Linked DNA regions of Drosophila melanogaster. The protein of the gene in region 2 interacts with the protein of the main gene of each other region in a pairwise test. Each region holds a gene or a part of one and is shown on either strand. Other genes may lie near its edges.

Region 1 (15,931 bases), on a different chromosome or scaffold from region 2:
AATTATCTCACCCTTGGCATAAAGTTAAAGTGAACACATAAAGCATAAAGCCTAGTTTTTCTTAAACACTCCATCAGCGTAATGCATTTCTGATTACCAGTTTGTGTGTCACATTCGCTGATAAAACACTTTCTCTTTTACGGCCGACACATTCACATTTTTTGGGCTCATATTTTGTTGGCTCATCGATGAAAAGTGCGTGGGCGTGTTATTTTTAAAAGCAACCGACTCTCGTGTTGTGAAAACAAAACTCTAACCTTGGTCCCTTTTCCGCTGGCCAAAAACAATGCCGTCCGACTGCATTCCATGAGCGCAAGTGTATGAAACCGCATTCTTTTTTGGACACAAAAGTGGAGTTACAATCGCAGAAATGGCATTGTCGGACATTGATTTGGCCACCTTGCACGAGAATCGCTTGGAGCAGCGCTGGCACTACGGATTGCCCAATAGCCACCACATATACCATCAGCATCATTATCATCATGTCGGATTCAGTGCCATGACGCGGCTCTGTCTCGAGCGCAATCTGCAGAGGAAAGTGCAGCCGGACCACAACGGAAACTGTCTGGCACGGGGACGTTCCCGGGAGAATGCCAATGCCATTGATTCGTCGTCGTCAGGTGGTGGGCGACGCAGGCGTTCCGGCACCTGGCCGTAAGTGGACAAACAGCTGAAAGGTTCCCCTAGCTATGAAATTGCATGCGAAAAGCATGGAATTCGTAATCCAAATCCAAATCGGTACGATGGCGCAATAAGTGCACTGGCAAAAATATGGTTCCTACTTACATATTCAAGTGGAATAAAGATTTATTGTTCCAAATGTTCGAATTTCAAAACTTTTATAGCATTTAAAGTAGATCTTTTAAATCAAATACTTTATTGTTGCTTACTTTATTGTACATAAGTTCCCTTACAACTGAATGTTTAACCAAGCCCCTGTTTTTCTTAGTGCATCTACGAATGCAAGCAGGAAGGGGAATTGGAAATGCGATTCTGGGGAATCGTATCCCACCAATGTTCCCCAATGTTTTTCTCTCGACTTCTGTCTGCCTTCGCAGTCGCCATTTGCATAAGGTTGATTTACAGTTGAGAGAACTTAGTCTGCATACTGCAAAGGTGGAGAAAACAAGCCAAATATTCTGAAAATCCTGTTGAAATATTGAACAAATGTTTCCCCTGCGTCCTGATCAGCCGCAGGCGGTTGCCTCGTTTCCGCTCCACAGCTCCTTGAGCATCGAAGAGTTCAACAATGTGAAGTGGGAGGATATAAATGATTGCAATAACAATTGCATTCGGGAGGAGCCAATTCTAAGGCCCAAAACCAATCGCCATATTTTAAGGTCTTTAAGGAGCTAGGTACAACAAAGTTATCCATACTAATTGTTCTGTTTTCCCAACTCTATTTTACAGGCGCACTCGCAGCTTGAATGCACCCTCGCCTGTCCAGCAGTTCGGACCATGTGGTCGCATCATGAAAAACTCCGCCATGGTGATGCAGATCCAGGATCCGGCTAGTCAACGTCTCACCTGGTACAAGCCACCACTCACCGTGCTCGTGATCAAGAAGGTCAGCGATGCCTCGGTGCTGGCACCGTTCGTCTACCTGGTGGACTGGCTGCTGCAGGAGAAGAACATGGTCGTTTGGGTGGAGTCGGCCGTGCTGGAGGATGTCCAGCTCAACGAAAATGTGCGATTCAAGGCCATTCGGGATAAGCTAGTGACTTTCAAGTGAGTCGGTGTTTAATGAGAATGTGTATATAATATAAATAACCTATTCATTATGCCCGCAGAGATGGCCGAGATGATCTGACCGATCGCATAGACTTTATAGTTTGCCTGGGTGGCGATGGCACCCTGCTGTATGCTTCGCTGCTCTTCCAGCAATCTGTGCCCCCCGTCATGGCCTTCCATTTGGGCTCCCTCGGCTTTCTCACACCCTTCCGTTTCGATAACTTTGAGGAGCAGCTGACCAGCGTCCTGGAGGGTCACGCTGCCCTAACGCTTCGCAGTCGTTTGCGCTGTGTTATGCATCGCAGGAGCGATAGGAAACACGAGGCTAAGACTCTGGAGGCAGATCTAGATGGTGAGGCGCGACCTGCAGCCAACAGCATACTGGTGCTCAACGAAGTGGTCATTGATCGTGGTCCATCGCCGTATCTGAGCAATATTGATCTGTTTCTGGACGGAAAGTATATCACGTCGGTGCAGGGCGACGGTCTGATCGTATCGACGCCCACGGGAAGCACGGCATATGCGGCGGCGGCCGGTGCGTCCATGATCCATCCCTCCGTGCCGGCGATTATGGTGACTCCCATCTGCCCGCATTCGCTTAGCTTCCGACCCATTGTGGTGCCAGCAGGAGTGGAGCTGAAGGTGGGTCGCTTTACTCATAATTCCCATAGATCCGTTTCTAACATCTGCTACATTTTCAGATATCAGTATCCCCCGAGAGCCGCAACACATCGTGGGTTAGCTTCGATGGACGCAACAGGCAGGAGCTCTTCCATGGCGACAGCCTTCGCGTGACCACCTCCATTTATCCCGTGCCATGCATCTGCGCCCAGGATCAGATATCCGACTGGTTCGCCTCCCTAGCCGACGGACTGCACTGGAATGTGCGCAAGCGACAGAAGTGCCTGGACGAGCTGTCGGATCTGACGGCATCCGGATCGGAGGATACGCTGGACGAGATCGAGAACATGAAATTGTACGATGTGTAGTGCGTAAGTCCCTGCAGCTAATAGAAACCGTAGGTTAGGGCTTTTAGTTGTAGTTCTAATGCTTTCGCCCTTTGCTTAGTGTGTAATTTTTGTAGTATTTTCGGTAACAAATTGTTTAAACACATTTGCCAAATGTATGGAAATCATTTTATAACTTTTACTGTTCGAAACGCCAGTGCTCTTGCAATATTGTACATTTCAGCTAGTTAAATATAAATGCAGTTGCAAACTGTAGCAAAAAGTTGTAGAGAGCATTGAATGAATGAATCTCAAATCTTTGAGAATTAACATTAAAAAGTCCCACTTCTAAAAAGATAAGCAATTGAATTATATATTACTTAATAAAATAATACCTGTAAATTCAGCTTGTAGCCGCAAATTAATGGAATGTTTCAAGCATTTTACCAAATTTAGCTTGAACATAACTTATAAAACATTGTCAAGTTGTGCTGTAGATTAAGCCTGATTGCAAACTGATTGAAATGTGTTCTCCTCCAGCTTCGCCTTGTAGATTTCGCATTAGTGTAGTTCCAGCCGGCACACCCAGATCATCTGGACTGGTTTTTAGAGCGCCTCTCCCAGGCCACTTGTTGCATGTTGTTCACCTCGCGACTGTCTTTGGATCCAATCGAATCGGAATCGGATTGGATTGGATTGGATTCACGTGGTTGCCACGCACTTGGGCCTGTCAGAAAGCATTAGTTTGCATCGATTTGGGTGCGAATCGAAAGTGTATGTTGCTATCGCCGATGCTGAGGCTATATGTTTTGCGCCCTCAGGCGGTACGAGCCATGTTCATTACGCGGCTAAAATCTTGTGCCATTGTGTTAATGCGCGCGATCGTGTTTTAGCCGCATGTTTTCGCCTTTTTTGCCCGCCGAACTCAAGGTGTGCTCGCCGTTTTTTTTTTTTTTTGCGTGTGCGTGCGGCAGGTGTGCGATGCGTGCCTATCTGGTCGTGTGAACTGCATAAAATCTGAGCGTAGTTGATGGCGAACGTTGCCAGCGAACGGTTGTAATTAAGTTCGAAATGAATCCCGAAGATATGCAGCGGGCGCGTGAAATGGCCAATGGAGACGCCTCTACGCCTGGGAGTTCGCCAGCTCCGCTAAGGAAAGCACTGCCAATCAGTTTGCTGGAAAAGCGAACTCAGTTTCGGTAAGTTGTAGCGAAAAATGTCCTTGAAGTGCCAGGCATTTTTCAATTTTAAACTTGAGTAGAGGTGTAATGTCTTTAAATGAAAAAAAGTTTTTAAAATAACTTAAGAATACTTTTATGAAGTGCTAATGAACAAGAAAAATTAAGTTTTGTATATAGTTTTAGGAAGCTTTTCATTTTTTTATATTCAGTGTAACTCAAATACTTTAATTGTACGAACCTAGATGGTTTTATTTCGGTTGCCAAGCAAATCATTGGTATACCTATTATTTAAACATATAAGCCAGTAAACTTGAAAACCCAACAACACTTGCTGTTTATTTTTTATAAACAAATCTGATAATAAGCGAAAGACCAATTTAAACTCTCGCGCCTTAGTGTGACCATACGGTGATAACTGCTGATATGGGTATTTTTTGCTACGCGCACAACTGCCACACAGACGTGAATTGGTGCAGGAAAAAAACAAATAACATGGACCCATTGAAACTCGCGTTCGTGAAATTGCAAATCAGGAGCTAGTCGCCGCCTAGCCCAAAATCGGGAAGTTGTCCATCGAAAGTGGGTGTCGTCGGCAGGTGCAACGCGTTAGTGGGTCAAGTTGAGGCCAACACAACACATCACTCACATTGGCGCACACATAGGTGCGCAGTCACAGATATACACACATACAGCTACAAGCAGGTGGCCAAAACAATGAAGTCCTCTAGCTCCATAACGGTTAACCCAGCCCCAACGACCACCCCGTCGGCCGCGCAAACGGTGCCGAAGTCGGCCTCCCAGTGCAATGGATCCTACTACGACGACCACGACAATCAGCTGCTCCATGTGAACAGCATACGACAGGGACAAGGAGGCACTGCAGCATCATCAGCACCGGGTCCTGACCTGAATAACGGCACTGCCAGCGATGACCTCCAGATGCGTATGTGGTGGTAAGTGGGCGGTTCAAAGTGATGACAACACCTGATTGCGGTTTCACGCCAGATCTGGCCTTTTTTTTGCTAGCTGAGGATCAGCTGTTTCGTGATCAGCTGTTAGGCTGTTGCAGTTTATATTTGCATTTGCTTTATCGATCCGTCTAAAAAACGGTTATTATAACAGATGTTTTAGTTATTGCTAGTTCTTTAAAATCATTTGTTTTGACAACTATATAAGAAACATAATGTCTTAAACATAAATGGAATACAATTCTTTTCCAGTTGCTGAACCATCACATTTCATTTCAGACATTCCTTTTAACCTGTCTCGAGATTAGAGGTTTGGTTTAAAAAAAACAAAACTTAAGTACGAACGGAGACGAAATTTGAATTGTTATCAAATAAGTACAGCCCTGTTTTTCACAGCAAAGGAAATGTACCACCTACGTACACTATGTACATACAGTATATAGTGAATTGTTGGCAATCAATTAGAGCTGGCGGGAAAATGCTTGCCTCTCGAGTGGCCCACACATGTTGTTTGGGTTCGTAATTTTCTGCGAATTTTAACTACTGTTAACACGTGTGACGAATGTGTGACATGTGCCAGATGCAGGCCACTAAAATCGATTTTCTGCACTTAATTTCCGATTTTTTCCTTTGAGTGTCGGAAATTATAGGCTTAAAGCCTCTGTTAACAGGGCTGTACATTTTGTTATGCCAGCTTTTCGAAAAGTAATAATTTCGTGCTTAGATTGTTCTTATGGCGCTATAAAACGGAATTACCCGCTGACTGCATGCATCAATCATATTTTTGTGGGATTTTGATAGCAGCAATTAAACAGCCACTGGCCGCTGATTACATTTACATAACAGTGAGAGCACCTGTTGCTCTAAAGCATACATACATATGCATGACGCGTGGCTGCGCTCAGCTGATTTCCAACCAGCGATGTCCGGCAAAAACCCGCCAAACGATCTGGCCGTTCATTGTTTACAATCGCTCGGCTCGCGTACTTTTATTTTCGAATCGGAATCGCGCACAAATCGTCCAACTTAATCACCTTTTCGGCGTCGCAGCTCAGTTATCGCATATTCACCGGACAGCACGGTCGTGTTCGCTCTCAAACTGAAACTCACCTGTCGATCGTGGAACGTTGTTTTGTTGCTCGCTTTTCGACTCGGTCGTTTACCTACCTTACCCGCTTGCCGTCGATCGCTGGTCAGTTTAAATGTTTAAGCCGCCGGAATGCTGGAAGCTTCGCCTTGGCTCGAGCTAGTGCTAAGGAGAAAATAAAACAGATTATATAACGTGTAATTAGAGCACTTTGTTGGCATGCCACTAGTTAACGTTAACGTTAACGTTAACGCTGTTTTCTAGCGCACACATGACTTGGCATTTCTGGGCTCCGAGCCGCAAGCCCACTTTCGATTTCCTTCTACGGTCTGCAGCCAGCTGGCTAGCAATCCATCTAACTACAGAGACTAGATATTGCAGATACACTCCAACTTCTTGCAGACTTTGCTAGATGGTTCTGCATTAAACTCAGCTCAATCTGTAGAATCCACTCAAGAACTGGAGGTCAAATTATACAAGTCGGGTTCTCAGTTTAGTTGCTTAATAAGAGCTTATCACCTCTAATAAGTTGCTATCGTTAAATGTTGCTACCTTGAATCGTGCACTTATTTAAAAACTTATGCTTGAACTTAATTAAAGCCAAATTTGTGTAAAAGATCATAATTCTTTATTCTAAAGAGTCCAATCTACTACAGATCATAAAGAATTTAGTAACCTAGTTGGACTGTCACATTCTTTGACTCACTTAAATAAACAATAAAGCAATGTTGCTGGCCAGAATAAATAAACCCAAAGGGGGTTAATTATTTATTCAAACTAAACTAGCACAAAGTTTGAACACACAACTGAAAGTAAAGCAATGTATTCACTGTATTAGCTGGGCGCTTCATAAAATAATTCAAACAAATTAGTTATAAATATAGTACATTTTTGGAATATATAAATTATATAAATCAAAGCGTCAATATTGTAGTTTATTACTACTTAAGATAGCCATGGACTAAGCCCGGTCCATAGCTCGATGTATTATTTTTAAAGTGAAAATTGCTTGTTAATTGTTTAATAATCTATGCAAAGCAATTTCCCACTGATTACATTTTAATAATAAAAACAAAGGTTGCACGTGTACTATGAAAGTTCAGCGTTAGTACCTGCATTTGCAACTTTGGAACCTATGAATTCATAACGAAAGGCGTCATTTGAATTATGTATATCATGGCAAAACCCGTGCTGACATGTGGGCACGTTGTGGCCAAGTGGTTACACAAATTCGTAGGTGCAGTTCCCTTGTCCACTTGCCGATCCATTCAATGATAATCGCTGCACTTAGTCGATGCCGCTGCGCATTTAGCGCTGCTCGCTTCGTCCGTTTATTGATTAATTAATTTGTGCTCGCCGCCTATTTTGTTTCAGTTTTCTTTGTATAACTCATGTCCATAAGTCATTTACAATTCGCTCTATTGTCATAGTCCGATTACTACGGATGTAACTGGCTATATAGCGACTGGTGGCTTGTGCCTTCCTTTGTTTGTTTGTTTGATTTACAGAAGCGTTTCAATGACTTGTGCTTACTTGTTGCTTCCTGATCTGGGTAAAAATAGAAGAGCGGGCGGGCTTTGGATCACGCGATGCTAACATTTTGGTTATGCAATATAATAACTATATAGTTAATTAGAATTCCAAAAGCGAGTGATCACTCGATTGAAACGACTGGGAAGAGATGATTGGATTGTTGTGCAGCTTAATAACAAATACGCCCCTCAAATAATAGTTGCAATTCTTGATAAAATCAGTTGAAGAATCTATTTCCCATGTTCTCTCTGTACTCCTGCTAATTCAGCAAGGATCCAAGCTTCAAGAAGACCTCCTCCACAGGTACTTCCCCAGTCTGTTAAGGCCTCCATCTTATCAGGCCACTCAACAGAATCTTGGGACGACCTCTGTTAATGAACTGCTGATGGGGCACTTTCGGAAAGAAACCGAAATGATGGGGAACTTCAAGCTGATCGCACACACAGGTCACGATTTCTAGATTAATGGCTGGCGATACTGTTATGCCCAAGTGGGTTGTTGTTTTCAAAAGAGCTGCAGAGAAGACTGTTTAATTGTGGTCCAAGTGGACGTTTTTTTTTCGATTTTTGGCTTGCTCAAAGGTTGTTGACCAAAACGCAAACGCGATCACGAACGAAAAAGATTTAATTATATTTCTCGTTATAAAGCTAACTGTGTTTAGTACGTCCGAGTTATTTTTTCGTGCCGCTTTGCCAGCGGATTTCTTGCCAATTGATTTATACTTGACATCGTTATGTCGTGGTGCTGGCTAAAGCAGGCGATAAAAGTTGGCCAAGTCCAAATACCGCTAAACCACCCCAAATTCCCCGCTGACGGAAGCTGACTAATGACGCATATGAGGCCTTGTGTCGCTCCTTTCTAGCCATCTCCTAATGACTCGCATCTCCCTCGATTTGTATGGCTCTTTCGTCAAAGCCGGAACTACGTTGCTGGTCCGTTAGGTTGGACAAAAATAAAAAAGCAACCAAAACAAACTATTCGATTGCTTATAACAAATTTATTTTGCACAAATTTCACAAGAAACACAAAACCGGTTCAAATACGAAAATTCCCCCCAAAATACAAAAAAAACTGATCGTTTTTGTTTATAAACTTTTACCACGCGCCAAAGCAGTTACCGTTTTTATATCCCACAAAAATGTATTGCATTCTTTTGTTACAAAAAATGTTAGCTTTGTTAACACCTCCAGCAAAAGGGAGCAAGGTTAACTCGTCTATTTTACCATTGGCTCAAAATCAGGGCCATTTCAAGGGTGTGAGCTTCCAAGAAATGCCAAGCGAAATGTTAAGCTGAATTTTCCAATCCAAATTTATAGTGGCAAAATGTTTTAGCAACGCGAATCACCTGTGAACATTTTGAGTGATATTTCATAATTAGCAATCAAAAGACTTGAACATGACGTGCCTGTCGGACATTGACCTGGCCACCCTGCACCAGCATCGCCTGGAGGAGATCTTCAGCTACAAGCTGGCTTGGAGTGGCACTGGCCATCAGCAGACCCAGTACAATGATCTCCTCGTGCGCCACAATGCGTCGCTAAAGCGACAGAGAATCATCCAACACACGGCCAATAGGGCCAGCACAAGGGCCAAGGATCAAGCATCCACTGATGATTGTGTGGCCACCAGTCCAGGAAACATTCAGGCCAAATCCGAACAGGATCCGGATGACGGCTACTTCGATTCCACGACACGACGCACGCGTAGTGGCACTTGGCCGTAAGTAATCCCAACTAATCACAGTTCACGGCAACCCCGAAAAAATCCTGATAAGCAAAAGACAGAAAGAATAGTTATGAACTAGATAAAACTATGGGAAAATGATTCACAATTTAAATAAAAAAGTGATGGACTTTGAATGCTCATGCCCAAAAGCCAAATTAGCTTAAGAATAGAAACGTATGAAAGCTAAAAGAATGTTTGCAATCCACCAAGAATATTTGTTTAACAAAGTGAAACTTTTTTTATTGGTATGAGCTAACTTAAAAGCCAAGTAATATTCACCCAAGATATTTTGTTTTACTCCATGACCTTGAATTTTTTATATATTTTCATAATGAAGTCTTAAAATATATACATTTAATTACTAACAACTAGACCTTGAGTTCTAGAAATAACTCTCAGTCAACAAATTATTTTCGATATAAACAAATTATTGAAAGTCAGAAAGCAACCAATAATAAGAAAAAGAACAAAAAATTATAAATAATTAATCATAGATGACGTATTTTTGCTCAGTGGGGTTTGTCTGAAAGTTATCAGGTCGTGGCAGCATTTGTTAGCGGCATGTCCGCGATAAGAAGTGTAGCTCCGTAATCAAGTGTTTACCATTTTGTTGGTGCTTATCAGGTGTGAGAAGTGTGGTGTGCATTTAGGCGTTTATTGTTTACACAGATCAAATCGGTTAATAGTACACATCGAACTTTGTATCAATTTCACAACTGATATTTCGCCATCAGCATGATTAAGCAAGCAAGTTATCAGTAAATAAGCTCCTTTGGGCTGAATTTTTTTTTATTTTTTAGTTAATTCATTCAGGTAAACAAGTCCTTGACCTTTCTGCATAGTTCAGCGTTTGCTGCTGCGTGTTTTCATATTTCCATTTTTTTGGCCACTTAAAAACGAGTTTGTTAACACCTCAATCATTGGTACTACGTTGGCGCCGTCTGTTAATTTATGTGTAGGTTTTTTTTCTCTTTGACAGCTACTATTTTTTTACAGTTTGTTTCGAAGAACTTGAGATGCCAGTTAGATTCGAAATCGGTGCCAGTTTGTGCTCGGCGCCGGTCATAAACCAAGAGCAACAGGTAGACAGACAGACAAACATACGAAATCGGATTGACAGTCGCTCGTGACCGATTCGCCGTGCCGAAATCCAAAGGTGTGCAGGTCAGGTGGCTTTAACCGCATTTGCATGGCTTGTCTGGACGGTAAATCGATTATACATACATATGTATGTACATGTAGTAGACCCCTCATTAAAGCCCTCGGGAAATTGAAAATGAACCGGACTTAGCGCTTGCGATATGCCAGTGATTTAACGAAATTTAAAACATTGTCATGCTGACGTTCCATGGGCAATTAGGTTTCTTCTTGTGCCGATCGATACTCTCACCTGGAAATTAAGTTTAGTCTGTGTCTAGTAGCAAAAGAACGCGTGCGTTTAACGAGCATTTACTGCGAAGCAAGTCGCGTAAGTTAAGAAATGAATGTGCATTTCCTCAGAAGTCGTTATCATGATTGAGTCGTTGGAGAAACAAGATCACCTTCTGTCATCACATCCTCCTGCCTCAGAACGTATGCGTCATCTTAACGTAATTTCCTTGACGGGCTCCTTTCGCCCAAGTTTTTTGTCGGTTGTGCTTTGTCTTTAAGTGAGTCAGTTCGTATTTTTATAATCACAATGGCACTATGTCCGTGATTGATTGATGAAAAAAGTGCAATGCGATTAAATTATGTTATTGATGAAAAATGATGTGGACTGTATCAATATATTAAAACGTGTTTAAAATATAGTATTAGCACTTTGCGTTATCTTACCTTACTGTTTGGTGCTTTTTGATGCTTTCTAAAGATCAGAACGCATGATTTATGGAAAAAGAAATTCAGTATCGATTTTATTTTATTCATATATTTTAATGTTAATAACTAATGCCGTGATGGAAACCAGCGATTATATACATTTGCACAATATATTAAGTGTAGCTAGAGCAATTATCTCTTCCAATTTGCATAAATACAAATATTAATTAATTAAATTTCGGAACCCGATGCATCCCACTGTTCAGCATCCACAGCGCCCATGGTGCAGTGGTCCAGTTCCTGTCAGTCTATCTCTATCTCACCGCTCATTGGTTTACTCTACTCTCTCTGATATCTTTGAGTCTCTTTGTGCTGAGTCACTGTGAATTAGCACATCAATCAAACCCGTTAGCAGCACCCCCACACACTCACACTCACACACTCGCACGCACAAAGTTCAATAGCAGAATCTGAGCATTGCTCTTGCTCCACCACTTCCATTTCCGCTCTCTTTGGGTTCTCTTTCGCGCTCTTCCGCTCTCTGTTGGCATGTGCAATTCCTGTTTGTTTGGGCCGCAGAATCAACAAGTTTATTTGCGCTGCTACGTGTTGTTGTAATGAAAACAAAAATATAAATTCGTTATACACATACCTTTATTTTGTGTTTTCGAACACCAAATTGGCCTGTCAGTGATTTTGTAACCTTCGAACGAGCAGCAGTCGCGCTCGCATCGGAATTCCCAACAAGTTTGTGTGTTGAGCACTACGTACCTGTCTATAAACCGATAATAAAAAGGGCGTGACCATCGAAATTAGCTAAGAATTTGGCGTTATGCAGCACCAAAAGTTAAGACTAGCTTCGGCCATGCAGCGCCAGATTTCCGAAACTGAGGAGCAACAGGTGACCCCAGTGGCGCCCGATCCGCGTATTTTGAGGTGTACTCGTAATGGCAAAACTTCTTTGTGTATCTGATCTCTAATGTGATTCTTCTCTTTTAATATTTCCAGGCGCACTAGAAGTCTGAATGCTCCGTCGCCATTCCAGCATTTCGGGCCATGTGGTCGCATTATGAAGAACTCCGCCATGGTGATGCAGATTCAGGATCCGGCCAGTCAGCGTTTGACCTGGTACAAGCCACCTCTCACCGTACTCGTGATCAAAAAGAAGGACTCACAGGTCCTGCCGCCCTTCGTTCAGCTGGTGGAGTGGCTGGTGCAGGAGAAGCACATGGTCGTCTGGGTGGAGTCAGCCGTCTTAGAGGACAAGCTGCTACGGGATGATGTTAAGCTGGAGCAGGAGAGCTCCAAGTTCCAAAAAGTGCATCAACAGTACGCCGGAGTAAGAGCGCGTTTCCTGGATCTCCGTGAAAAGCTAGTGACCTTTAAGTGAGTACAATTACGTAGCTAATGAGAGTTTTTTAAGTTACTTTTCATTGCACCAGCAAATGAGAGTAGTTTTCTAGGAAGAATTAAGCTTATAAATTCCCTTTCCGAATCCGCAGAGATGGCCGCGATGACCTGACCGATCGGATTGACTTTATCGTCTGCCTGGGAGGCGATGGCACTCTGCTGTACGCCTCACAGCTGTTCCAGCAATCTGTCCCACCGGTGATGGCCTTCTATCTGGGCTCCCTTGGGTTTCTTACGCCCTTCCAGTGCGACAACTTCCAGGAACAGGTGACCAATGTCCTGGAGGGTCATGCTGCCCTAACGCTACGTAGTCGCCTGCGCTGCTCCATCCACCGCAAGGGCGAACGCCGCAAGGAATCGCTTCTGCACTCGGTGGGTGGTAATCTCCTGATACCGAGTTTCCAAAGGCAGCTCAACTACGTGGAGCTTAACAACGGACAAACAGGAAAAGCTGGCAGCAATAATAACAATGGCCACAACAATAGCATCCTGGTGCTTAACGAGGTGGTCATCAACCGAGGACCCTCGCCGTACCTGAGCAACATTGATATCTTCTTGGAGGGCAAATACATTACGTCGGTGCAGGGCGATGGCCTGATCGTATCGACGCCCACGGGAAGTACAGCATATGCGGCAGCAGCCGGTGCCTCCATGATCCATCCCTCCGTGCCGGCCATTTTGGTGACGCCCATTTGCCCGCACTCGCTGAGCTTCAGGCCCATTGTGGTGCCCGCCGGAGTGGAGCTAAAGGTGAGTTTGCTTATAATTAAATCCGCCACTTTACAAATTTTATATTTCAATTAAGCAACTTTTTATGACAACAAAGTTTATGCGGACTTTGGCTGTCTAGATCGCGATTAATAGCACGACAACTAACAGATTTCCCTTGACCTTGCAGATATCAATTTCACCTGATAGCCGCAACACCTCACGCGTTTCCTTCGACGGACGCAACGACCAGGAGCTGAACCATGGGGACAGCCTGCGAGTGACCACCTCAATCTATCCCGTGCCCAGCATTTGCTCCCAGGACCAAATCTCCGATTGGTTTGACTCCCTGGCCGAGGGTCTGCACTGGAATGTCCGCAAGCGGCAGAAGTGCCTTGATGAGCTGTCGGACTTGACCACTTCGGGGTCGGAGGACACGCTCGATGACTTTGACAATCTTCAGATCTACGATGCGTAATGGCAGCCAAACCCAATCACTGTTTGTTAGCGTGGCCAATTAGACTAGTTGTAGTCGTAGTTTTTAGGGCTTGTGTGCTAGTGTGCAATTTGGTAGGCTTAATTATGTAGGAAAAATACTCTGTTGTACTATATACACTTTAAGTCGCTTGGTTGAAATGTTAAATGTTAATTGATTCCGATCGCAATGTTTGCTTAAGCTAGACCTATTCTGTTGATTCTTGTGAACAAAAAAAAAAATTACAGCTTACGCTTAGCTCTTAAGTTTTTATTATTACAAAACATACGACTAATTGCGTCGAGTGCTAAGTACTTAAGCTGACTCGCGTTATCTGTACAATTCGATGGAGGTAATAAAAACTGTATTATTTACTTAAAGCGCCACAAAATCCATTCCACTTGTGTTTCTTTTTTTTGGTTTTGTTTTCGCGCAACAGGCAAATAAAAATGCAATTAACTAGATAAGAAGAGGGTGGAATGGCCGGAACAGTAGCAATCCGCAAGGACACTTAAGACGACAAGTGCTTTTATAGAAGGGGAATTAATGGCTCGGCAATTGGTCAATGTCCAGAGAGCTAACTGAGAAGATGGATGGAGTGCAGAAGGGAGTGGTGCACATTAATCATAAAATCACCAAAGGATTCTAAGTTAGAAAATGTAACGGATTGAATATGGTCATCAGATTATGATCAAGTACATCTTTATATTGCTTTGGATTGCGAATTATTTATGGACTGGGCCTAAAAGTATGTCATCGTTCATTGTCTGCAGAATGGTGAATGATTTCAATTCTGTAGCTGACCGAAAACTTTTCTTTCCAAAGATTTCTTAAGTGTAAAAGCCGCACGATAAATCAAAAGCATAAAATAAAAGCTGGCAATAAATGTGACTAGAAGTGTCCTATGCGACCACACCCTCTAAATGCTCGTGCGAAAGTGTGCGTACGTGCGAAGTGCGTTTATTATCAATTTTCACGCTTTTCCTCGGCGCCTTTCCACTTGCTCACTTGGCGAGCAACAAGTGTGGAGCCGAGTGATTTCCACAGCTTCCCATCGCTTCGGCATTTTCCTCTGACTGGCGGATAAAAAGCAATGCGTATTATCCGAGCCATCCGATTGGTCGTCCTTGGCCACGCCCCCTTTTTGGACACTGCGCAGGACTAGTCATTTGCCTCAATTTTATGCTAGTGGTTCCTCAAAGTAAAAAGAAACGGCTGAAAGCACATTAATTTAATTTTTCTTTTATTCGTTAGCCGTCTTAAATGGTTTGCTCTATATTCTGGCCTAAGCCCGCTTAATCGGGTCAAATAAAAACCGCTTTTATTTAAATGCATTCTATTAAAATAAGTTAAAGAAATTAAAGAACATCAATGTTTTCAACATCGACACATTACTCAAGTTGTATGAATATTATAAAGTAGGATCAATATTTTTGTAACATTCAAAAAGTACCCAATATGTAGAATATTATTAATTATAAAAAATTCTATCTTCATTTATAGTTTTCTTTTTATAATTTGGAAACCTTCTAAGTTGTAAGATTATTTTTGGAATCCTTTTACAAAATGATCTTTCTGAAAATTCTATAAATAACTTCTCACCATAGCGTACTGCTTATAAGTTATCTGCCCGATAAGTTTGCAAGTGCCCGGCTAGCTCAGTCGGTAGAGCATGAGACTCTTAATCTCAGGGTCGTGGGTTCGAGCCCCACGTTGGGCGAAACACTTTTTTATAATTATTTTATGTTAATTTTTTATTCAATATAATAACCTAGAATATTTCACTAATACTTATTAACGTATATTAATCAAAATAGAACATATTATAGATCTACGTTCAATAAAAAAAAAGTAAAAATACTTTTAAGTCCTTCAATGAGCCAGTCAGCTATTCACTTTCACTGCCAAAGAAGAAAAATCCCATTCAGCATAGCCAAAGCCTTTTCATTCGGCTGGAATATAAAAACGCAATAATAAATTCAAAATATTTGCGGAATTTTCTAATGAAGTCGGGCTCGTTCTCCACTAAGACAAATGCCGAGCGGAAAAGGCGAACTGAACTATGCGAAAGCAGTAGGAGGAGCAGGCAGCTTCACAAGCTTCCGATGCTGCTGAAGATGATGTGGCACGTGTTGATATTCCAATTGAATGCCACCAAATATGCGGAACCCACACAGGACTCGGCGTATCATCCCCAGAGCATGGGGAATCGGAAAATATATCTCCACCACAGGCATACCCACACGAACCGGGTGACATTTGAACTTTGGCCGGGGAATTACTGGCACTCGTCCTTTTAAATAGATTTCGCAAATGCTAATGACAGCTCGGGCTCGAGGATTGTGTGTAGCATTTCAAAACAAAAGGAA
Region 2 (15,258 bases):
AAATTAATACCTCCTAAACTATTGGAGATATTTGGATGAATTTTTTTTATACGTTACACATGCCTCCAGGAATATTTTGGAAAAGTGGGCGTGCCCCAACTCCGCCCCATTTTTTTTTTTTTTTTTTTTTTTTAATAATATATTTTTAAAGTTTATTTTTAATTTCAATAATGTATAATTCATAACCGTCTTCCTCTTCACAATCAGTAGAGTCTGAAGAATTTTTATCAGGTTCAAATTCGCAAGCTAACATTTCAATGACTTCTGGTGGAAGAGATAGTCGCTTATGTTTTCGCCTCTTTAAATTTATTGATGATATTATGGGATCCGAAGTATCCATTGCTCTGTAAAAGACATCTGCGAAGCTACTAATAGTTTTTGCCGTGGCTGGCTTCAACAAAAGAATTTTAAGTATGGCTGCAAGATCCCGCAGGCAGCACTTCCGTGCAGCTTGAACCAAAAGACGTTCGTTGTGTTTCTGCGCCCTTACGAGTTCATCTGCTTGCTGTCTTCGGCCACTCAAATTTTTTAAATAATATGACGTTTTCGGGAGTCCAACTAATTTCCTTTCCTATTAATTTTTCTCCTTTACCTTCAGGACTAGGTGTTCTTCTAACCAATTTGAAAAAAATTTTAAAAATTCATATATTTTTCGATTGCATTTTCTCCAATTTCGTAAAAGATTGACTGAAATCATTCGTTATTATTATTATTAGTTAATCGTTTATTAAAGTCTAGCTTGCTATCAGAAAAATGCCCACTGATAAAAGTGCAAATAGAATTTTCCTTTTGACGAACACCCTTTTGCGTGCGCCACACTTCCAGCAGGGCAGCATTGGAAATCGAGATATTGCTCCCTAAAAAATGAAATTTCTCAAAAAACCGCAAAAAACGCACATAGAGACTACCTGATATGAGTTAGGAATTGAACACACTACAACATGGATATAAACACTTACTGAACAAATTTGAACAAATTGTTGTAGCTCTATTCAAAGTTGAAAATTTTTTCAAACAACTACATGTTGACACCACTTGCTAAATGTACAAATTGTTAGAAATAGGCGCACACAATAAACAATATATTAATAACAACACATAATAAGAACCTAAAGATTGATTATCCATTTCAAATTATACTCTCCTTCTTCTTCTTTTTAAATTTTAACACTTTGAAAGTTAAGCTAAATTTTGCGCGCAAAGCAGCCACGTGGTATATGCTCGCAACAGCCGACTTTAACAGCTGTTATTATAACAGTGCATTGTTAAATTAACTTATGCGGGCTATATCATAACAGTTTAACGTATTTCCAATGTATTAATACTAAAATACTTCAAATTTGCATACTTGTGAAAAACACATTATTGTAAAAAAAACAGGCCAAATGCCCCATAGTGCAATGTATGGCCGTTACGCATCTTGTTATTCTAGTGTCTTTGCTATAACTGTGGCAAGGTGATCGATACGCCCCCTCAGAGTCCTGATCTAAACCCCATTGAAAATTTGTGGGCCTACTTAAAGAATAAGGTTGCAAAAAGGGGCCCCAAAACACGACAACAACTCATGGCTGCGATAGTCGAAGAGTGGGAAAAGATCCCGCTTGAATATGACCTAAAAAAACTCATACATTCCATGAAAAAAAGGCTTCAACTTGTAGCCAAAGCCAATGGGGGTCATACTAAATACTAAAACTTTTCAAATATTAACAAAATAATTAAAAAATTTAGGATTAAACTTAGGTTTAGTGTTTTGTGTAAAGAGTTTCTTGACACTCTCAAAAGTGTGTAAACTTGAAATTTGTTGTTTATTTTCTTGTATATTTGATATATTGAATTTGTTTTTTAATTTATAAGTAAAATAAATATTGTTTAATTATATTTCATAAAAAAATTGCGTTTAATTAAGCAAAAAACCCTTAATTTTGACCTTTAAAGTCAAAAATTCTACTTATTTCACGGTGTGTAAACAGTTTCTTGACAAACTGTAACTATGTAAACGGCAATTTTAGCAAACGAATATTAAAAAACTTTAAAATTATATTAGTCACGGCGTGAGTATTGAGTTTTAATTATTGTTGTATTTCATCATATCATAAATATGTATGTATCGAAGAGTCATCAGGATGCCCTTCTTCCTCTTCACTACTCTTGTCATTGTCTGCGCAACGTTTTCTGGCGCGCGAGCGAGGCACGTCTGTTCTGCGCAATGATCGATTACTGACTGACTCAATCTCTTTTCACAAAAACAAGAATTATTCGTAGTTGTTAACTCGACACGCAATACCAACACATTTTGGAGACTTATTCTAGTCCGCATACACCAATACTAATTCACACTGCATTATTCTGTACGCTTCCCGTTATTCGTGCAGACAGCTTGCATTGCGCGTCCCAAGTAGAAACACGCAATTGCGAGAAATGTCGTTAAATTTAAATGGTCTGCGACATGTGTAAATTCGTTTCTTGGATCAGAATTGATTTCGGTTGAAAATCTTCTTCTAGCACAATACCCACACATATGTATACACGTTCTCGTCTATTGTTTTAAGCAAGCAAATTCTAGTTTTAGATTTATTACGCTATCAGCGTAAGCGAGCGGACAGAGGGCAATTTTGGTCGTCGCCAAAAAAGTGGCTGCATAGTGCAAAACTAATGTATGGCAGTTACGCATCTTGTTAATCTAGTGTCTTTGGAGATACCCATAAATACGCCGATCGGAAATTGCTTTACACGGACGGTTTAAAGTCTGACGCATCAACTACCGTTGCAGTAGTAGACAAATATAGGAATCAATGGAAACGAGGAACGAGAACAAATCTTTTCGGTCTCACCCCGCCCTAAAATATATTAGTTAACCCAACATCAAATAATTAATACCTAATATTATTTATTATATATTATTAATAATCGACAAACTGCCGATCTATCAATAAGTCGAGTCGATGGTCAAAATAGCTAGTTACTTCTTTGTTTAAATTATTAATATATAATAATTAATTGATTTTATTTTCTTCAAAGTGGAAAATGTGTGAAGATGCTCAATTAAATTATATGGATACGGATCCTCCTAATTATACTGCCAAAACTTAAGACTTTTATAAATAATGCTAAATGATATCCAATGGCAATCTTCGTAGGGATTGTGCTGCTGGTGCTTGGTGTTCCTTTATCAATTTTTGTTGAAATGTTGAAACATTTTTCATCCTTTAACGCTGATTGAAGTTCTTTGACCTCAAGGGTTGTGGTGGTGTCGATTTGAAGACGGTTGTATTTGCACCGATCCGAATTTACAACAAGTAAAATCGCAATTAAAATAAACAGCCCGAAAATATGTGATCTTCTCAATAGAACGAATAACACAGTATATTATGAATGCTTTTAGGCTGGAAAAAATACTGTTCAGTCAAATGAGTAAGCCTAGTGGTACCGATGAAGAGTGTTTGGTTTTTATTTTATACAAAATTTATTTCTGACCCCACCTCAGATATGACAAACTAAATTTTGCCGTCCGCAACAAAAGTTATCGCGAGTGCTGTTTGTGAAACGAAACGCAGGTAAAAATACGTATAAAATATAAAAGAATTTATTAATTAATTTAATGGAGGGCCAAAAGTGTTATCGTAAATATTGAATTTAATAACTTAAATGGTCAAGGTGCAGTACAAAAGTAATTGCGATCTTCGGAATTGAAACTGTAAAAATTGTTGCCTCTCTATTGTCTGGAAAACAGCTTAAACAGCTGTTTACTATGTATGAAACACTCCGATAGCAAATTTTGCACAAACTAGAGAACCTAAAAACTAAATCAACAGATCAGACCAAAATCGAAATCGAAAAAAAACGATTACCGATTACATGCCTGAATATATACGTTGTGAATACACGTTTTTTACATTGCTCAAATGTCCATATGTGGTTATCCGAACAAGGATTTTTAATTTAACGACATTTCTTGCATTTAATTAACTCCTACCACTGTAAAACGGTTTTGTTTTAACCGATAGTTTTTTAGGCTTTTCACCGAAGTTAATTGGTACAACCTGTATAAGGGAAAAAATCCGCAAAATAGTTCGGATTTTTCGAACGCTTTTCAAATTCTCTTTTAGACTTCAAAGTTAGCCAAAAGCTGCTTAGATCGTTAGATGTTTCTGTCTTTGTAATAGATAGCTAGATAATATGAAATTCCTAACAGCCCTCGTGTTCCAAACTCCACCGCTCCATATTCGCTGCTAAATTATTGATGCTAATTTGACACACATATATGATGTGCATTATCTAACACCGCTTGATATTAATGACATCTATTCTTTATTTGGACATGATCCAGTTAAAAAGTTTACTTCAATAATTAATGTCAAATCAAAGCTACTAATATTAATATATAAAACTTCACACTTCTAATTCCACACTGCTCATTTCTCACAATATAAAATCGTATGACTTAAAGCATATCGATTACATTCCCATCATTCATCGCCATCTGAAAACACAATCAGATTCCCATAAACGATTCTCATACACGATTTATTTTATAGCTATACTTGGATATGCATCAAATACAAATACAAAACCCTCGGTTATCAAAACCCAGAAGGAAGGACGAAATTTGATTAGCCATGTTATCAAATACGTTTTCGAATGATAATTTGGCAGGGAAATAAACACTATCAACCGTCTACAGTTCTTAAAATAATGCATTAGCTTATTTTTATTTGGAAATAACTTATATATGTATATACTTTTGTTTTAATTTTGACGGAACTGTTGCATACTGGAGTACAAAATTGCGGTTTATCGAGAGCGTTTGGGGTAAAAGGGCTTTTAACAGTCTGGTAACACTGACAGAAAACAAAAAACAGACGACGTTTTAATAGACGATTTAAATTTTAAAAGAACAACAGGCGCAATGCAATAAGCCCCGCGTGTCGGATTGTCAGCACCATCAGCAGCTCCAGGACCAGGTCTTGCCACTTGCCCCTCGCCCGTCGCCAACGATTCGCGGTAGAATCGGCACCGCACCTAAGCCACGAGAGCACGGGCCAATCCCAGACGAAAAATGCTAGGCAAGCGGACTGGGTCGCGGCACATAGCGGTCGTGCTGCTGATGTGCCTCTTCTGGTACGTGATCTCCTCCAGCAACAACGTGATCGGCAAGATGGTCCTGAACGAGTTCCCTTTTCCGATGACCGTGACTCTGGTGCAGCTGTGCAGCATCACGCTGTACAGCGGACCCTTCTTCAACCTGTGGCGGATCCGGAAGTACCAGGACATACCTCGTCCCTACTATTACCGCCTTATTGTGCCGCTAGCGCTTGGCAAGCTCCTGGCCTCCGTCACCTCGCACATCTCTCTATGGAAGGTGCCAGTTTCCTACGCGCACACGGGTAAGTCAAGTGCCCGCCAATCTAGTGGTATCCCAACACGTCAGCAGAATCTGTGTGATGTGCTTGGGAGGAAATTTCCAAGCGGCAAGATGTGATAACGATCGTGTCGCTGATATGTACTTGGCATATTGACATTATATTTATGTTCCTTATTACAGTACCAATTATCTTGAAGAGCTATTCAAAAAATTATATTTAAGGTAGTTGTACATTTCCAAGGTGTTCAAGCATTTTAATGATCAATGTAAACGCTGTAAAGTGATATAAAAAGTTGTTGTGTCAATGCTTAATCCAACAACTAAATCCGATTTCGAAACAATTATAAAAAGTAATGCTTAAGTACAATTTAGTTAATATTTATGATTACCGCCAAACCATTGATCAACGAATTTAAGTTTAAAGTAGGTTCTTATTTTGCCGGTAAAGGAATAGGTCTTAACTTTAATACGTTTTTATTCTTTAACAGTCAAAGCCACAATGCCACTATTCACCGTCGTCCTGACACGCGTTTTTTTTGGTGAGAAACAACCGACACTCGTGTACCTGAGCCTGCTGCCCATTATCACCGGCGTGGGAATAGCCACAGTTACGGAGATCTCCTTTGATATGATGGGCCTTATCAGCGCCCTCATCTCCACAATGGGCTTCTCCATGCAAAACATTTTCTCAAAAAAGGTAACGCCCCCGCAGAGTCTGTTATTGATTCCATTACATTTGTAAATTACCTTTATCGTCGACAGGTTCTCAAGGACACCAACATCCACCATTTACGGCTGCTGCATTTGCTTGGCAAGCTGTCGCTGTTCATCTTCCTCCCCCTATGGCTTTACATGGACAGCTTTGCAGTATTCCGCCACACGGCCATTGTGAGTAGGGTACCTTATTCTGCACAAATGAGCAACATCTGATCTTCTGAATAGTATTTTTGATAGGGCGCTAGTTAGGGTTACCTTTCGTCTTACCTTTCTATCGTCTACTTCTTTATGTGTTCCTTATTATGCCAAATGACATTTCCCTTGCATTTGTCTTGGATGTCATTGTTAATATTATTTAAGAAAACAAGTCCTTTCCAAGCAAATTAAGTAAATACACACGAGCAATACAAGATTAAAAGTGTATTCAACACTAAATACTTTGGAAGAAAACTAATGACCAAAACCAAAGTTATGGAGAGGAATTTGTGCTTAAAGTTTTTAACTAACCCAAATTTGCGCTTTTACAGAAAAACCTAGACTATCGAGTTATTGCCCTGCTTTTCGCCGACGGTGTCCTAAACTGGCTGCAGAACATCATCGCCTTCAGCGTCTTGTCTCTGGTGACTCCGCTCACCTATGCGGTGGCCAGCGCATCGAAGCGAATATTTGTGATCGCAGTATCGCTCCTAATCCTGGGCAACCCAGTGACGTGGGTCAATTGCGTAGGCATGACGCTGGCCATTGTGGGTGTGCTCTGCTACAATCGCGCCAAACAGCTTACGCGGGGTCGCGAGCAACCGACACTGCCGCTGTCGCAGACTAGCTATGTCAAGTACTCGCCGCTGGAGCAACAGGCAGATCCGTACTACCGGGGATCGGTCAACGGGAAGCTATCCAATGGCTTGCACAGAACGCCCGGAAACAGTCTGCTGGCGAATGGCAGCGGAATGCCGAGCGGGACGGCAACGCGGCTACTATTTGTTTAGTGTGTAGTTAGTGAATGTATCCAATAAGCGGGTTAGCTAAATAGTATTAACCTGTGACGACCACCATCCAAATTCCGACTCTCCCCTCTTTTATATATATAAATATATATATGTATTTATATTATTATATTATATTTATATTTATATATTTATATATATATATATATAGTGTATATATTAAATATGTTTGACTAAAGAGGCGCAACTCTAAAATTAATAATTTAATTGAAGAAGCAACATTTTTATTTTCAATCGAATTTAAAGGAAGTGGCTTCAACCCCACAAAACAATGTCACAACCGACTTTTGAAACATTTAAGTTTGCTTCTTTAATATGATTGAATTAAAACATGAAAATAAGACGTAAAAGGTGCGTAATCAATACGGCTAATGAATAGTAGTTAAAGTAAAGGGACTGAAGGAGTGTCTTAATTCTAAGATATTATCGCTCTTAATGTTTCGCAAAATTTTCAATTTAAATCCCGTTGAGAGAAAACGACACACTCTTACGCAAGGTGTATAAAATGCGTAACCCTATGACATACTTTAGCTAATTAACTCGAAAATGTCAAATTTGATTCAGTCAAAAGTGCGTAATATATGTATATATACCTAGAATGCAATGCAATGCTGTAAATAAAATGTATTTTTGATATTGTTTTGGAGGCGAGCCGTATGTGTAAATAAGTAGTTCGAGTCCCCGATTTCCATATCCCCTCCCGCCCGCTAGTTTCGAATTTGTTTTCGAATTTCATTAAGCCGTAAAGTGTATTCAGAAAGCGTGTACGCATGTTAAATGCCAAAATAAAATTGTTGATGTATGTACATGTACATAGGCAAAGCAAATGCAAATCGCCTCGTCTTCTTCTTGACCTCACCTATTTACCAGTTGTCTAACTATCCAGCACCGTCGCCAGTTCTTTGGCGACCGGAGCGTCTATGAAGAATTCGGTACCAGCTTAATCCACTCATTGACCAGATCTTTCTGGTACCCGATCCGCTTGAGCAGCGCCTCCGACCGCCAGTTAGTAGCGACAATCCAGGCCGTTAGGGTGATCTCCTCGCCCCGAGCAATTTCTCGGCTCATCGCAGCGGCTAGGAGGCCACCTAGTCCTCTACGCTCCGCCTTGGGCAGCACTTGCAGCATGCTAAAGAGAAATAAAGAGAAAAGTTTATCGTGGACTAGCTCTGTACAGAGATGCTTATCATTTGGAATACATATATTATCATCGTTACTATGCCGACAGTGATGCTGTTCACAGGGATTATGAATTGAGTTCTTAAAAACCATAAGAGTTACTTTGTTAATTAAGTTACATACATATGTGCTAGCAATCGCATCGGCATGAATATAAAAGAAGAACATTATTAGTGAGATCATATATGTTTGGAAAAGCCAGATCACATTGTTTCAGCATTTTTATTTGACCTTTTGGTTTCTTAACTGTTGCTAAACTACATCCCTTTTGTGAACAAAAGCACCATACTTAAGTTGAAATGCATTGCTGTTATCGCGTGCATGATATATTTCAGATATACGCACCCCAGTCCGGAAAAGTCGTTCTGAAAGATCCAGGCAATCAGTTCCCCAGTGTCGCTTCGGCAGATGCCCAAGGATTTGTTGAAACGGACGAGCGCCTGGAGATAAGTGAGTGAGCCTTCACCCTTGTTAGGCCAGGAATCGTGCACCATGGCTGCATCCTCAGCCCTCAATCGCCGAATCTCGAACTCAGAGGGCAGATCTGGAACTTTTGCACAAAAGGCATCCTCGTGCGACAAAACCATCCCGAAACACTGGCGTGGTTGAATGGCGGTGACCCCGCGGCTGACGGCCAACTCTTTGACTCGATTACAAAATCCCAGATCAACGTTGGTCAGCAGGGCTCCCTGTGTCCACTCGATGAGCTGCGTTTGCTCCAGGCATTCCCACAGCTCCGCGGCTCCATCTGGCTGCCAGCTGAAGAAGGAGACGCTCTGCACGATGTCCCGATGAAGGCTCACATAGGTGCCCCACGTCCGGAAGTTTCCCCTTCGATGGGTGTAGAACTGCTTTCTCAGAGAAATGTGGTTCAGATCATTGCGCGGTATTTGAGCCTCGCTCAGCTGGCGGTCCCATTTTCGCTGGTTGTACAGTAATAGGTAGTGGAAGTTCCTTATACCGAATTTAACTTTGTATAGATCAAGCAGTTCGTCCACTTCGCTATCGCTAAGTGGCCGCAAGATATCACCGTTCTTATCTGAACTCATTGCCGGTCTATATGTATCTGTCTGTCAGCCGATTCGATTTGAATTTAGTTTTTGTGAACCTTCCGCCTGCCCGCTGCTAAAAGACTAGAGAGCTGGCCGCAGTAAATGCGTCGCTGTTAATTCGCTAGTTAAACTACTTAATTGTAATTCAGCTGATTAGATTTCTCTCGTTTGTCCAGGGGCGAAATTCATTCAGAGCGGGCAGCATAGTGGGGGCGCTATGAAATATATGTAATTATTATCTGGGATTAGAAACTAATTACATATTATCTGGGATTGGTTAACTATGCCCATTGCAAGGCTCGTATAAAAAATATGTAAAATGTAGAATTTTGTTATATTTTTTCGTTTTTATTTTTATTTTTTATTATCTGGCGAATTTCTATCGGTATACGAAACACATTTTGGCCACACCTCTCCAACGTCCACAAACCAATCCAAACTGTCACGCCCGCTAGTGAAAAATCATTTTTATTTGTTTTCGATATCGATATCGAGAAAAATGTCAAAATTTCAAAATTTCTCGCCCGCTTTTGAAGTATGTACATTGCTGAGTAACGAGTTTTGAATAGTATAGTATTTATTATTTTATTCTCCAATAATAATAACGAGGAATGTGGAATATAAAATTGCCTAGCAACGGAGTTGGCCTGGCCCTTTTCGGCTTGTGGAAGTTTATTAACTTTCATTACAGCACACATTCGGCAGTATGGTGCTTAGTGAGTAATTGAAATTGTAGAATAGTAATGTTAACGTACCAATTAAACTGACTAATCCGCAGTCACCGAAGAGCTGGTCCGCAAGAAATCAGAGCACAATGAACGTCTAATCAGCACGCTGGAAGAGATCTCCTTGCACCAGGAGGACATCGAGGTAATTGAACACATCCAGAACTGGTGTCGCGACCTCAAGATCCTACTCCTCCAATCCAACCTGATTGCGCGCCTGGAGAACTTGCACAAGCTGAAGCGCCTGGAGTACCTCAATGTGGCCATCAACAACATAGAACGAGTGGAGAATCTGGAGGGCTGTGAGTCGCTTAGTAAACTGGATCTTACTTTAAACTTTATAAGAGAGCTAACCAGTGTTGAGTCGCTATGTGGCAATTACAATCTCCGCGAGTTGGTACTCATTGGTAATCCTTGCGTGGATTATCCGCACTACAGGGACTACGTGGTGGCCACCTTGCCACAGCTGAACAGTTTGGATTGCGTGGAGATCACTCCCTCGGAACGTCTGCGAGCGTTGCGGGAACTGTCCAAGAACCGGTCCATCATTGTTCAGAAGCAGGTAGAACAGGACATCGAACGTGATGAGCAGCGTATCCGGGTGGCGAAGCAGCAGTCCGCTCTGGCTGAACATTGTGCCGGCATAGAGGACGAAGAAGAGCGCATAAAGGCCTTTTGGCAGGCGAAGAGCGAGCACTGCCCGGAGATTCGCACAGAGATCGCTCGGCAACACCGATTGGGACGGGAGCGGCACGAAACCAAGTCCCCACTGGACCCTCTGAAGCCACAGCGCAACCTCTTCGCTCCTTGTGGCAGACCCTACAATCTGAACCAGGCCAAACTGCCCTTTAAGTTTCGGGATGAGGCCGACCATTACTTGCTCCAACTGGAGGTGTACAGGTAAGCTAGGCTAAGATGTCTTAACCAAACTTATACATATCTTACAAGTTATCACCAACATATTACATATGTATATCGATATTGGTATTGCTTGATCGTTTCTACGCCCCAATCATATACATACACTTCAAAATTCTTAATTAATATTGCATATGTATATTCCTTCGCCCAGACACCTGGATACCTCTCTAATTGACGTCGATGTGCAGACCACATACACTAGAGTCACCGTCAAAAAAAAGATCTTCCAGATCGCGTACAGCGAGGAGGTCAAGCCGGATGAGTCCACTGTGCAGCGTTCCCAGATTACAGGTCACCTTGTGGTCAATCTTAAGAAGCTAAAAGTTAACGAGCTGCTGATAGCCAAGAAAAGCCCGACTAAAAGGTAAGTTCATCCAGTTCATTGTATATCATGAACCACAAATCCTAGCTACCTTTTCATGTAGCCCTGCCGCCCCTTTTGATGCAGGAAAAAAAGATGGGAAACCGGAGGAAGCGTTTCACGGAGGAGTAGTGGACATCAGCAACATTTGTGCACCCGAAGATCTTCCCGATTTAATTTGAGACTGTGTTCATTATTTAAAAATGGTTTATTTAAATATTTGTCTGATTTGGTTTGTTTTCTCAAACTCCTCAGTGATCTTTTGTTTTGTTTGGTTTTTGTGATCCATCCATTCCATCGATCAATCATTAGCTTTCTAGTAAATACTTTAGCCCGATCGGATGCTCATATATATATGCGCTTGAGTGTGTGTGTGTGTGTGTGTGTGTGTTTGTGTACATATACATTTCATATATAAATGTAACGTAAGTCGGATAATGCAAAACAGGGCACACGAAAATAAAGATTAAATTAAAAATTATATTCTAACTTGGTTTTTTTTCGATTATTTTTTTTACGGAAACCGTGGTTTGCCAAATTAATGAAAATGTCTTCGCCTAGTGGCTACGAGCGTATAAAATATATCCAATTCCAAATTCCATAGACTTGATTTCAGTTTCTTACTCTTCTGCAGCAAACGAAAAAGTATTCGGATATGAGGATATAAATTCCCGTGAAGTGGCCTCTTAAATGGCTATACAAAATCAGGGCCTAAGTTGGTTTTCGTTTAAAATATGCCTTTCATGCTGTATTTACAATACACGATCATCGGGATTATTATTACTGCTATCGCTTTCTGTATACATATTTATATATAAGTTGTGAAATTGCTATAAATTACAAGATACATAAAAAAAATGTATTCGATTTTATCTGAAAAAGTCGCTTTGTCCTGTGGAAAGTATGGGATGTGGTTAAGATTTGAGATTATTGATGGAGGGTCGTGTCTTATCTGAAATGATCATAGTTTGTTTGCTTATTTTCGCTCGTTTGTTAAATGGATATAGCAACAATCTTGTATTCTCTCTCGCTCATATATTTCGGTATTTGTTTTATCTTTTAGTTTGTATCTTTAAATAGTATTGTATTCTAGCTGTGTTGTGTGCAGTTCGTCATCAGTTTCCTGGTTTGGTTTTTAATCTTTAATCTATGTAAGTATTTCGCTTATTTCTTTAATTCATTTCATATTATGTTTGTTTTGCAATTGCTTAAGTCCATGGTTTTGCTTTTGTTTTTCTTTATCTCTTGTTTTTGTCGTTTTTCCGTTTTTTGGATCTGTTACAAAAATCGAACAAAGTAAAAATATTTCGAAAAAGCGTTGTTGCCGGCTACTTTTTTACCTCTCATTTTTTGTTCTCTGTGTATTTTTGTGGTTGTTGCTGTTTTGACCAGACTCGAAAACTCGATTAACAGCATTCATGTTTGAAAAAACGAGGTAGGACATTGTGTTATAATAAATATGATTTCTTTTTCTTCTGCATTCCATTTGGGTTCGTATAAAAACGAAATAAAAAAGATTAAGCGGCTCTAATTGATTGGAGTTTTCGGGGGTGTGAGTGTCGGGATTTGTCAAGTGTGAAATAAACTACAATTATAAAACATATTTTGGTTATACCTTATATAATTACATACTTGTTAGATCAACTCAGCTAAGAATTCTAGAATAAGTGCTTCGTCCTCTTCTCTTTCCCTCAAACTCATATCTTTCTTTTAAGCCCTTTCTCTTTCCATTTCTCTGCCTCTATATCCGTCACTTTCACATTTTCTCTCTCTCGACAGACAGTAAAATTAAACAAACTGCGGACGCGTGTTGACAGAACTAATCCAACTTAAGCTCACTGCTTTCCGCTTCCAAGTTACCAACAGCAAATGTATGTTTATTTGTGGGTGTTGTGTGTTTTTCTGACTTGCTTCTTTGTTGACTGTGCGTTGTTCAGCAATTGCAGTCAGGTGCTTCAGCAAGGACCAGACCAAAAAAAATTACTTAGACCCGCAGGATCTCGCACGCTTTGTTATAGCAAATGGCTATCCAGTCGGGCTGTGTGGCACCCCACTGAATCTGATTGACTTCGCCCTCGGCAGCTGTATAGGCTAAAATTGGATCCTCGATTGCACGTGGCATTTGTTGTATATCCCAGATCAGTGCTTGGTGATCATCACCGGCAGTGCAGATGTGACAGGAACTGCAAACCAAAATACAAATTGTTTAGGCACATTTTAGGTTTAAGGAATCTTATAGTCTCACCTATGCGGCGCCCACGCAATACCGTTGACGCACGCTCTGTGATTGCTCAGTCTTGCAACGGGTGTACAAGGAACACGAACATCTAAAATTATTACTTCGCACGAGTCCATGGCAACGGTGGCTAAGTAGTTCGGGTCCTGTTTGTTCCAGGCCAAGCGCAGCAGCGCCGTATGAGCAGGATCCTATTGGATTTATCGTTATGTAGTCATCCGTTTTTGTGTTTTCGCGCGTTCTACTTACCTCATATATAATGGTCGAGTGCTCCAAGTGCCGCAGATCAAACATGCGCACCGACCCGTCCGCTCCCACCGAGGCAAACATGTCCCGACCGCCGCCGGCCCGCGAAAAAGCAATGTCGTATACTTCCTTGTCATGGGCAATCAATTGCGTCTTCACGTGTCCTGCCACATAGACGCGAGCGTGCGGCTGTCCGGTCTCCAGTCCCCAGATAGTGCAGGTTGTGTCTATCGATGAGGTTCCCACCAGATTGGGATCCACCTCGTTCCAATCAAACGAAGTGAGGGGAGCGCAAAAGTCGCTGTTCTTGTTGTTATTCAGTACGCACTCGAGCCGCGTGTCCGGTTCCCCGGCACGCCACACCCGCAAGTAGTCGCCACTGGTGGCCAACAGATCCGGATAGACACCCTTGGAGTCCGGGATCCACATGATCTTGGTTGTCGGATATGGATGATCAAAGGTGCTATTTGAAGAAGAAATAATCTGTCAGTGAGGAAGGGGATTTCGGAAAAATGGTTCGTATAACCAAATAACTATTCATATTTAAAATGATTACAATAATATCAAAACTGCTTATCATTTTATATTATTTTTTAAAGATAATATACGAAATATAAAATGAAAACAGAAAGTAGAAGGGATCAGCTAAACAAATATTCGGTATACCTCTTAGCACTAAATTCGCTGGTGTCCTCGTCCAGGCTGATGATCTGTACCTTGTTGTTGTACTCCTCGATGAAGCTGCCCAGTGCGAGCCGGAATCGCTTGTCCGGCCTTACACTCCAGTTCATGGAGTACAGTGGCCATGGCGCGAGATATTTGTAGATCTCCTTGCGCTTTCCGGCGGTCGAGGACATAACTGTAGATATGGAAAAGGATCAGCATGAGAATCTAGGACTCGTATTCGAATTCGGAGTCTGGATCAAGAACCCACCTGAACTGTGTGATTGGATACGGATATCCAGACCAAGACGAAGATCAAGACTTGGATGACAAGGTGCTGCTGAGTTTTCTCAATGCCGTTTAGCTGGTGGCCGGCCTAATGACGACGAGCTCCTTTGGTGATGATGACGACAATGATGATGATGGCTGATAATGACCACTCACAGCAGCGGACAACTCAAGAAAACTTCATGGAATGGGAAACAAAGGTCTTTGCTTGCCACTCGCATTTGCACACTTTACCGGCTTGCTTTTCCTTGGCTTTTCCTGTAGCTTTCCTCTTTTCCGAGATTCACATCATTTTGTGCACTGGCAGTATTGCCAGCTCGCCCGTTTTCCGACTAGAGTCCGTCCGTCCGTTTGCCGTCGTTATTCCGGCGAAATTTAGGTCTGGAGGACACCGATCGGAGAAGTCGAACTGTACTCAATCAACAGGGCGAAGGAATTAATTCAACGGCGTGCACATCGCGACCGCAACGCATCCGTTTGGCCAGCAAGTGGAATTGTGCCCGG

Evidence for each region.
Region 1: the proteins of CG14615 (region 2) and Nadk1a interact in a two-hybrid assay, tested with the Drosophila melanogaster proteins (one large-scale study listed by BioGRID).

The regions. Positions count from the first base shown.
Region 1 is NT_033778.4:13,535,396-13,551,326, reverse strand, and holds Nadk1a (NAD kinase 1a), read left to right. Parts: upstream 1-5,877; 5' UTR 5,878-6,019; intron 6,020-8,763; 5' UTR 8,764-8,843; coding exon 8,844-9,166; intron 9,167-10,529; exon of another isoform or gene 10,530-10,640; intron 10,641-11,658; exon of another isoform or gene 11,659-11,801; coding exon of another isoform or gene 11,802-11,932; intron 11,933-11,977; coding exon 11,978-12,355; intron 12,356-12,471; coding exon 12,472-13,129; intron 13,130-13,277; coding exon 13,278-13,565; 3' UTR 13,566-13,956; downstream 13,957-15,931. Other genes in the region: Nadk1b (NAD kinase 1b), read left to right, coding at 371-654, 1,411-1,728, 1,791-2,373, 2,433-2,720.
Region 2 is NC_004354.4:22,439,925-22,455,182, forward strand, and holds CG14615 (uncharacterized protein), read right to left. Parts: upstream 9,480-15,258; 5' UTR 9,312-9,479; coding exon 8,608-9,311; intron 8,213-8,607; coding exon 8,002-8,212; 3' UTR 7,259-8,001; downstream 1-7,258. Other genes in the region: CG14621 (uncharacterized protein), read left to right, coding at 5,057-5,384, 5,851-6,059, 6,125-6,250, 6,607-7,065; tilB (touch insensitive larva B), read left to right, coding at 10,021-10,030, 10,093-10,939, 11,112-11,324, 11,386-11,503; wap (wings apart), read right to left, coding at 13,306-13,504, 13,567-13,748, 13,807-14,266, 14,470-14,660.